Drosophila melanogaster: one gene and its partner. The protein of the gene in region 1 interacts with the protein of each later gene in a pairwise test. Each region holds a gene or a part of one and is shown on either strand. Other genes may lie near its edges.

The links. The genes of interacting proteins can lie anywhere in the genome.
Region 2: the proteins of CG2611 (region 1) and CG14767 interact in a two-hybrid assay, tested with the Drosophila melanogaster proteins (one large-scale study listed by BioGRID).

The regions. Positions count from the first base shown.
Region 1 is NT_033779.5:20,648,513-20,651,414, reverse strand, and holds CG2611 (uncharacterized protein), read right to left. Parts: upstream 1,227-2,902; 5' UTR 1,165-1,226; coding exon 955-1,164; intron 879-954; coding exon 690-878; 3' UTR 517-689; downstream 1-516. Other genes in the region: brun (brunelleschi), read left to right, coding at 1-125; CG18810 (uncharacterized protein), read right to left, coding at 1,476-2,378.
Region 2 is NT_033778.4:8,717,794-8,725,656, reverse strand, and holds CG14767 (uncharacterized protein), read left to right. Parts: upstream 1-1,817; 5' UTR 1,818-1,951; intron 1,952-2,159; exon of another isoform or gene 2,160-2,204; 5' UTR 2,205-2,226; coding exon 2,227-2,400; intron 2,401-4,032; exon of another isoform or gene 4,033-4,148; coding exon of another isoform or gene 4,149-5,504; exon of another isoform or gene 5,505-5,557; intron 5,558-5,624; coding exon 5,625-5,814; intron 5,815-5,872; coding exon 5,873-6,011; intron 6,012-6,167; coding exon 6,168-6,963; 3' UTR 6,964-7,640; downstream 7,641-7,863. Other genes in the region: CG30357 (uncharacterized protein), read left to right, coding at 4,149-5,504.

The sequences.
Region 1 (2,902 bases):
GCTCCTGTCCGGCAGAAGCGGAGAGTGTCGGCCAATCGGTCATGTTCTCCTCCAGCTACGATGAGCAGCAGGCGCATGTGTGGAAGTTCATTCCGCCCATCGAGGTGACCGTCGTGGAGCAGTGAAATGTTACCTGTCGCTAGTTTAATTTCGTTACAATGTTTGTGTATGTATTGTGTATACACCCCATACTAATCCCCTACTCTTGTTAAAGTATTTGATTCCCACGCGCCCTGTTATATCCGTAAACACGAAAAGCAATTGTTTGTAAAGAATTCTTACCTACATAGATACAACATGTAACGCATAACACTGTATATAATTAAGCTGAAACACAAAGTTATACTGTGCCCCAAGCTTGATAGAGAAAATGGCCATAACATAAATCATATAACCTATAGTTCATGCCTGTAAAACATATACATATTTAAGCAAGCGATGCGCTATTTAAATAGATAGCCAATGTTCCGCGCACTAGAAGCCACGCCAAGCATTATACATTTTGATAACGAAGCTCGTGTTTAAAAAATATTTTTATACAATTACCGGGGCAATACACATGTATCATAATGAACTACATATTAAGATTGTTGCTAAAGAAATTATGCCAATGAAATGTGTGAATAACTGTAGTGTAAAAGCAATAAACTCTATTTGACGAAACATTTGGTGTCTTTGGTTTCTCCTTTTCAGCCGAGTCTTCGTATCTCGTCCATGGTGAATCCGTTGCGGTTGAGCATTATGCAGAAGAGCACGTACACATAGTAGCTTCCCGGGATGAAGGTCAGTGCCCCGATGATACCCAACGCCCACACCCGATCCGATCGCTCCCGGCTCGTGTCCGTCACCCAGTTTAAGGTGGCAAAGGCGATGCAAACCTGAAGACAAAGACATCAGATCAGAAGTTCGAAGGAACTGTGCATGTATGTGTGGGCACCAGTAATCACTACTCACAATGCCACCGATAAACAGCAAAAGAATGATAATAATGGTCTTCCAAGGCACTGGACCTGGCATCGCCGGTTCCGTCCACTGTTCATTAACGAATCCATCGGTCTCGCATTGGGACTCCACCACCTTGATGTACTCTCCGGAGCCTGCTGGCGCGGAACTCCTGCCCCCTCCATTTAGGCGGTGCCGCGACTCCGAATTGGTGGGCTCCATATGTGGTCTCTACCTACTGGCAGTTGATCTTGACCAGATGCCAATTTCAGACTAAACAAACAAGCATTTTGCGGCAAGTCAATGTTATCAGGAAAACAGCTGACGAGACTGCCAACCTGGGGAAAATCAGCAAGCACAGTAGAGACCAAATAAAACGAAACATACACATATCGCATAATAACACATCCTTAAATATTTAACTTTTTAATTTGGAAAGCTTTCTTGCATGCCTGAACTAATCAAATGAATTCGAATTTTTAATTTTTCATCGCACCGGTAATTTGGAAAACACAGAGAATGCATAAAATTATTTAGCCATCCTTGATGGTTGTTTCTGAGCACCAATCTGCCACACGTTCGTTGTCGGGATCCAGATCAAATCCGTCGTGGTCCAGCTGGCTGGGAACAAATCCGGAGATCCAGGTCCACTTCATTCGCCTGCCCAAGAACGTCTTGAAGTTTCGGCGCAGTTTTCGGTCAAAAGGAATGTTTTGAAGTTCAAAATCATAGCAAAAATAGCCACGAGACCACTGATCATAAGCCACATAGGTAGCTACGCATACCCCGATCCACAGCAGGACGAATACCAGAGTGAACACCAGCTCGTATATATCGGGCAACTTAAAGTAGATTATCCTGATAATAAGCGAGTTAAAATAGGCAGAGTTCGGTGCGGGATGTGTCAGCATAAAGAGCTGGTATCTGCCCCCATGCAGAACGTAAATAAATATCGAAGATGACGTTAGTGAAATCATGCAGCTTAGAAAAAAGTAGATAAGAAAATAGAAAAAGTATCTATAGTTCTCATGACCGATGCAGCAACCAGTAAAGAAGCAGTGATGATCTCGCATCAGGACACAGACGCCACACTTCCTGCAGTGACGTGACCGGGGTGGAGCAAGAATCCCGCACTTGTCGCACTCGTGCCAGTCCTCACTGTGCTGTCCGCGCACCAACTGATTCTTCATAAGCTTGGGATCGATGCTGGGGTCCACCAGGATGCACATGACATAGTTGGACATCACATTCGAAAAGAGGAACAGTCCCAGCAGCAGCTGAAATACGTAACCAGGTGACCAATAATCCGACAACTCCGGCAGAATTATCTCCATTAGAACATAGTATATGGCGGGCAAGCCACATAAAATGAACAAAAATAGGAATTGCTCCAACTTCTCTTTTGGCCATATGTTCTTCAGCGACCGAAACCTCATTATAACGAAAGTGATTTGATCAATTTGTAAAAACTTTACTGCAGATTGCAAAACTGGTTTGGAAAAAGTATTGGTGTGACTTTGAATTAGTTATTCCAGCCTACACGATGTATCAATATTTTTTCTCCCTTTTCCCAACCGTCTCTCAAAAATATTTAAAAAATAAAACTATGGCAAGCTGCATTCTGTTTCTATAAATATAATTTTATTAGATTTTTTACGTCCACTTTTCTGGCATCATGCAAGGGAGCCCTGTAAAATAAATAAAAATTATGCATAAGTATTTAATCATTATTCAGGGGTTACTCTAAATATATATTTTTACAGACAGTTCTAAAGATTTCCTAAAAAAAATATGTGCAAAATTATTTTTCTTTACTTTTGTTTACGGATCATTTTCATAGATTTAATAAATACAAACAAAATTCATGTTGTTTTAAAGAATACCCTTAGTTTCGTTTTTGTATTTGGTATTTTGTTTCCTAGACAATAGCTTAAGACTTGGCCTCAAATACTCCCATATT
Region 2 (7,863 bases), on another chromosome or scaffold:
AGAGTAGTGTTCCAAACCGGTTCCCAAAGCGTGTATTTCTTATAAGACCAAAACAAGACGATTGCAGCGCTTTAAATTACGTCACCACTTGAAGCCAGAGAGCAGAGAGAATTGAAGATTGAGAGGGAAACAAACAAAAGGGGGATGACCAAGACCACCAAACAAAGCCGGACCTCCAAGTATAACCCGAGTTTCCAAAAGTCGTAGTTTAGAAATTAAAGGAAGGTTTAGGGTAAACATACATGTTATTATAGTCAACTATTTTTAATTTTTTTGAAACATTTGCAGTGCCTGAAGCTTTTGTTTCGATGGTGGTAAGATAAAGTGCATTTCCAAACGATTTTAAAACATGTTTAAAATAAACTTAATAACAAGTTTTCACGCTTGACAGATTTTATCTACTGCACCTTGGGGGATAAGGTTTGCTTTCGAAATGTATCATCCGGAAGTTTAAGTTTATAAAAACGTAAGCATATGATCTTCTCTTTGAAGACCCACTCCAAACATTTTTAAAGGAGGATTGTTCCACTTTTGAGATAAACTAAACACATGTAAGATACTCTTTTTTTTACACATGTAAGTTAGGGAAATGACAAAAAAAATTAATGTAGCCCAAGGAGTTAACGGCTAAATAACGTGGGTGATCGTCGGAAGAAGCCAACAAGCATGGGCGGAGACTCGAACTCGAACTCGCGCACTGATTTCGTAGGGAATTCCAGTTGCCTTAGACGACTGAGCCACCGCGGCTGGAAAATTTGGGACGTCCGAAATCGGAGAAAGGTGTTTGAAGCAGGTTAATATATGTGGTTAACCTACAGATAAGGCTACAAGCAGCACTCTTTTATTTATGGATGCAAAATCAGCTGATTGACAGCTTAAAACGCTTATTTACGATGGCCTGTTGTTTGGCCCTGATAACACGCGATTAGCGATATGGAAAACGGACCACCAGACCATCAACTTTTTCTCACTTTATATCCCCATGTTCCTGGCTGCGAAGTGCAGTTAATCCGCAGCTATAAATAGCAAACAAAAGTGAATTCGGTGGGTGACGTAGTTGGGAATAACAGAGAAGGGGTGGGATGGATACGTACTAAAGAGATAGAGAGAGAGCGACAGAGAGCGCGCTAACGAACGACGCAAAACTGAAGGAAACAAGGTACACAAAGGGGAACTGATAAACGAAACTTACTGTAAAACTGCAGTTACAGTGCCGTACTTTTATATAACAGCAATTGCACCCCACGTTCACTGGCTTCGTTTCAATAAATAAAATAAACACGGGCTAAAATTCTACGCGAGTCTGATTAGGCATGCGGTTTAAGCCATTTCAATTCCGTTCGCTGTCAATTTTATCTCTGTTTTGCTGCAGTTGGCTCTCCAAATCTTTTAGTTATGGTCACCCTACGATAGCAAAGCATGTATTTTGATTGCATCGCTGCTATCGATGTTTGCGGATTGGCGCTTTAGCGTTCGCACCGGTCACACTTACCGTACTTTTTAAAATTAATATTTACTTTACGATGCGGAAGCACAAACCTATCTTGAGTTGCTCCTTTCGAAGTAAATTTTAAAAATAATATTAACTTCAATAATAGTAATAAAAACATATCAATTTACATTTGGGGACACAAAATACATAAACTATGAATATTTAGAAATAAATGAGCTTACATCTCTTCGTTTTGTTGTTTATTTATATGACATCTAATTCAAAAATTATTGTATAATATCATGATATTTGCGAATAATGACTCGTATAAACGTTACCGTTCTGCAAAACGCATAATGTCAGTGTGACCGTGTTGCGCGGCATTTTACCACTTTCAGAGATTAGTGCTCACGGGTTTTCGTGCTGCGCAGCAGTTAAATAAAATTGAATACATCAAGAGCTGCAGATATAAATCGGAGTTGAAAACCAGTGCAAGTTGCATTGGCCCACAAATCAAAGGTACGCCTTATAAAGGAGAGTGAATCAATTGCCGAATTAGTAGTGCAAAAGGTCAAAGCATCAGTCGTGAAAAAGTGGCACACATAAATACAAATGCATACATACATACTCGTAGATGCAACACACACCTACACCTAAACACACATACACACACAAACACACATCCGTGGGAGGAATAAAACACCCACAATTGCTGATTATTTTCTGCACTCGTTATCGTTATCGCTTTCGTTTTCGCATTCATTTTCCACAGCCGCAGTTTCGTGGGGCGTGCAATGTTTAGGATCCACCTCAAGATGGGTCCCCAACGCAACCAGCTCCACAGCAACAACAACAATGGTGCCGCCGGAAGTAGCAGCAGCACCGGAAACCGTCACCTGAAGGAGTTCACCTGCTGCTTCGGCCTGCATGTCCACACGGCCACTTTGATGATCGGATTGTGGCACCTGGTAAGTGCATCAAGGGGGGTATCCTTTAATCCATACATGCGTGTGTGTATATCGAGATACACCCACGCATGCAGTCCTGCGGCATTTGCGAAAAACCTTTGACCCTGCTCAGTGTCACGCAAGGGAAAAATCAATCAGCCAATGACTGCAAAACTTTGCGAAGACGAAGACGAGCCAACTCTGCACTTTCCCCGCCTGTGACGTCAATTGGTGGCTGATTGGCCGCTGCTGCGTCATCTGATCAAATTTAACTACAGTATAATTCGCTTAGCTGCCTCGAGTACTTTGCACAATGCCTCGATGCAGGTAACTTAAAAATGCAGCTAACTTAATTTTTTTTTTTCTATTTTCTATTTTCTATTCACACAAAAAAATGGAAAAATAATGCAGATATCTTGCCGATGCAGCTAACTATCGATGCAGCTAAGCGAATTATACTGTACTATCATCGGGGCTTTTTGGCACAACAACTTATTTCTGCCATCGGTTCCACTGCGGAAGTTTCCACATCCCATGTCCATTGTCCGAAACTAACCTTTCACAAGATCTGACTTCGCATTAGCAATCGCTACACTTGGAGAAATGTAAAGCATTGTCGAATTTTCAAAAGTTTCATAAGAAATTAGTTTTATTGGCTAAAAAAAGGGATATAAATGTGCAAAGTGCAGTATTTTCAGTCTTGTTATCAATGTTTTTGGAAACCCAGAAACCTTTGATGTCTCTTCTGAAAATGAAAGAGAATGCTCTGCCCTTAAGAGAGCGCGAATCTGCGGCCAATAAAAGATTTGAGTCGTTGAGCAAAAACCCTTGCTTAATAGTATTTGTCTCACTACGCTATTCGTGTATATTTTACACTGTTCCGCTACTTTCTTTATGCTTTGATCAGGTCACGTTTTCCAGTAGAAAACTCCGTCACATGGGTTGATTATGGTGTGGACAGCAGTGGAGTTATCTTTTCTAATCTGTCCAATCTCAAGGGTTTCTTTGTTTACATTTTGTAGATATGTATGGCGTTAGAGGCTTTAAAAACAAAGCAATTCCGCAAATCGAAGGTTGCTTGTTGTTTGGTTGACTCATCCCCAGAGTGACAATTGTTGATATACTGCGGCGCACTGCAGATTAAATTTCATGATGAATTTCTGATGAATAATTTAACTAAAGATGGCAAGTTGCCGCATCTCGGGTCGTTGCAAGGCCTTCAACCTGAGATACTTAGATACTGAATCGGATATCCAACGGCAGCCATCTGAGCAAACAGCAACCAGAAACATGAGCGTTCAAGTTATTTTTAATAACTACACGTACTCGACAAGTGATGCGAAAATATTTACTCTTGTGGTGGCTTACTCTTGCTTTTCGGTAAGAAAGATATATTCTTCTGGAACAACATTCTGAAGCGTGCTGTCATAAATCTGAGAATTGTTAATTCAGCTGTCATCTATCAGCACACAGGCTGCAAATCAAATCAGGCGAAGCTTTCTTATCTTCTTTTTTGCCAGCTTATCTTCATGAGCGGACCCATGCACCTGCTAACGCACTCGAAATACTTTTAAATGTTGAGCTATCATTAAAGTCCCCCCTCGTGATCCTTGGGAATCTTTGCTTAGTTTGTGACGTTTACAACTTATTCACATTTTTATAAATATTGTTCTGCTCACACAAAAGTCTACATTCCCCACTACTTCCAATGAAATTCCATCCGGAGGAAGCTGTCCAACTGGTGAAGGCATTTGCGAGATTCGAATGCAATGCCCCACACAGACGACACATTTCCGGAAGGCAGTTCTTGTTGTCCTATTGACATTGTTTCCTCAAATAAAGTCATCCTGCGCGGCTATGCTTCTAAGGCGAATAAGGATGTCGAAGCGGTGGAGGAGCTAGAAGAGATACAGGAGATGAATGATGAGCTAAGGGATTTGTTCATCAATACAACTGCCATCAATTGCTCGTCCCTTTCTGAACTAAAAATCCAGACTGACGCTTTCAACACCCTTAAAGAGCGTACACTATTCTCATTGGGATACTCGACAGCCGGGCTTTTAAAGAAATCAAAAATCAGTAAGGTTCTAAAAGGGAAGGTCAATTTGTACCAACAGATTGTGAGCCTTGTAAAGCAACGTACAAAGACCAATTCAGAGATCACCATAGGAAAGACAAGTCATCCCGTGCACCTGATGGTCTTACAGAGCTTTTCGCGAATGTTTCGCGATATGGGCAATGACCTGAGCGTGGCCCTGCCCGAAAAGATGATTACGCCACGCTCCTTTGGCCTAATCTACGAATGGATGATCGAGGACACGCCAGTCTTGCCGCGACTCGGTCTCCTAGAGGTTTTCCACGCTGCCAAATTTATGGAGATTCCACAGTTGGTCAGGCAGTGCAAGTATTGCCTCGATCATGGATTCACTGAGGACTCCGCTGCGATGCTGTACTTTGAGGCGAAAATACTGAAACTTGAGGTTATCCATTTGCAATATCTTGAGCGCGTCTCAAAGTTTTTTCTCACGCTGGTGGCATCGAAAGAGTTTTTGAGACTGCCGCTGAAATCAATGCTATTGCTCATCCAATCGGATCTGATAGGCGTGAATACGGAGCTGGAGGTCTTCATGGCAGCCGCTCGGTGGCTAAGCCACCACTGGCCTCAAAGAGAGGAAAACGTAACGGATGTTGTATCCAGCATACGTTTTGGACTAATCCCGCCGTGGTTGCTCATCCGTTTACAGAAACCGGATGTCACATCTGTGGGGGTGGGGAGAATCGTAGCGCAGCCAATTGTGCGCCAAGCCATTCATGAAGGCATCGCGTACACGACCACGCGGATGTTTTATGGAAAAGATCGGGAGGCTTTTAAGCACTATTTGCATAAGGCTTGCGTAAAGCCACCCGTGCAACGCACTTGGATATACGACCGGAAATGTCCGTATCATCATCGAATGCAATGCAGGAACACGGTGGACTTAACCTACGACGCGTTCCTTGAATATCTTAATTACACGCAACGCCAGCACCGGGATTATTGGAAATCTCTGGAACCAGTAGATGCTAGCAATGTTTGCTTCAGTTGCCAGGCAAAGAAGTCTGATTTAACTAAGCCCAACAGTTGAGTCTCCACGTTGGTTGTAGAACTTGTAAAATATATATTTCTACTTATATATGTAAGCCTCCATGTGCAATTAAACAGTTTAATTATTTTAGTAAGTAAAACCGCCTACGTTTATTTTCAGTTCTTGAACATATTGGCGCTAAGCGTTCTAGCGGTCATATGGCGCAATCCGGAGATGATGGACGAACTGGAAGGTGGCACCCACGACTACACCGTGGATCTGAGTGCACCGGCCCTACCCACGCCCCTTAGCAAGGTCGAACCGCCCTACGCCTACCGTGACCACTCCCTCAACTATCGTAAGCGTTACCGTAAGCAGTGGAGAGAGCAAGTTCCGCAACGCATTTAAATATCAATTTTCTGCTGCAGAGAACTTCGATATGGGCGGACTGGTGTGCACCTGCATGATAGCCATTACACTGATGATGATCTACGGAACCATCAAGGGAAAACCCTCCCACCTGTTGCCGTTCTTCTGTTTGCAATTGTTTGATTTCGCTATTACAACGTAAGGATTATAATCGGTGGAGTTACAGAGACCTCAAAAGATTTAAATCGCCACTTTACTTTAGTAAAGCTTAAATAGCCTTCTTAAATCCTTCGAGGTTTCTAGGACTCTTTTAATAGGGAGATTAATGTACTTATGCATTGTTCGTTATCATAGTCTCACCGCCGCTGGATATCTGTGCTACCTGCAGGCCATTCACAGCATCATTGCCGAGTCGCATCGCTTGCCGTGGCGCGAGAAGCTGCTAGAACTACCACCTGAGGAGCTAGTTGTTGTTGTCCTGGTCGTATTCATCTGCATTGTGTTTCTAAAGGCCTATTGCATTGGTATCGTTTGGCGCTGCTACAAGTACTTGACGCTCCGTCAGCAACACGTTCGCACCCTGTTCCCCTTCCTGGAGCCACCGACTGGAGTCCACAGTGTTGGCGGAACCTTTGGTGCCGAAGAGCGGTCTTACTCCACTCTGTTGCCCAATTACGATGAAGCGATTGCCCAGTACTTGAAGCAGGCACCACCGCCATCTTATCAGGTGGCCATGTCAAACTACGAAGAGGGTGAAGACGCAGCTGTTGGAGGTGCGGAGGTTAATCCTTCGGTGGCCCCTCTCTTCGTGGCCCTTGGAGCAGCCACTACCGCGAACGTAGCCTCCAACACGGATGACAACATGGATAATAACAATGATCAGCCGAACAATAACAACACTATGCATGTCAATGCCAATACGCCACCAATGCGCCGCAGCGATGCAGCTGTAAACGCTAATGTCGACGAGGAAGCGGACGATTTGGAGGTTATTGACGCTGGCGTTGATGTAATCGGTGGCATTCCGCCTCCTCCGCCCTACAACGACGTTGCCGATGCCCAGGTGCAAGTGCCATCGCAATCGCCGCTGCATCGCCAGCCAAACATCCCGGGACAAGTATTCGGCGGACGCGACGAAAGCCAGGCTTAAACAGTACTTTCGACTGGATTGCTTCTCATGGCGAGTGGGTTGTGATCAGCGGTGACCACCCCTCTCCCATCCTCTTCTTGCCCAGATGATCTGGTTTCTGGTCCCTCATTTCGCAGCTATCATTCCCAGGCACACATACACCTTCTTAATGGTTGCTTCAATGTATTGAACACTGTTTTTAGAAAAACGAAACGCAAACAAGTTTTCGCTATTAGCCATCGCTCATTATTGTTGTTTAACGTACAACTAAGACGCTCTAGTTGCTGCTAATTTAGTAAACAAAAGCATTAAAGCCAAAAACATATTGTGATGCTGGCGAGGAAAGCATCAATTCCTTTTCGGCCGCATCTGACCCGATTTTAGCTGCAACAATCTGTTAGAACGTTTTTCATTTGGCCCGAACTAGCCTGAGAAGTTCGGATATTGTAGGCCCAAGTAGTTGTTACCAGAGAGTGTCGCTGGCATTGTAGACACCTTTACGATGTTCTTTGTTTTAAGTTATCTCGTAAGACTATGCATATTGAATACCGTGTACTGAATTCAGAGCACAGGCAGTCATAATCCATTAATTATGATGATATTACCAGCAACAGTAAAGTTTTATGTGTGTACAATATCTAAATGTATACTGTGTACTAAATATGCAAAGATATTCGAATAAAAATTAGTTTATATTTAATTTGTGTTTGCGACTTCATTTTAATTTAAAGAACATTATAATATAATTTCCAATTTCAGCTGATACCCTAATTCTATTTGGAAATTGGTTTCATTTTCAATAGAGTTGGAATGTTGACTTTTTAGTTTATAGTGTTAATCCTTTAACAGAGTTGATGATATTTATTTTAATTGGGGAAAGAAACAAAATAACTTTGTTCTCTACTATTAAGTTTAAAAAAG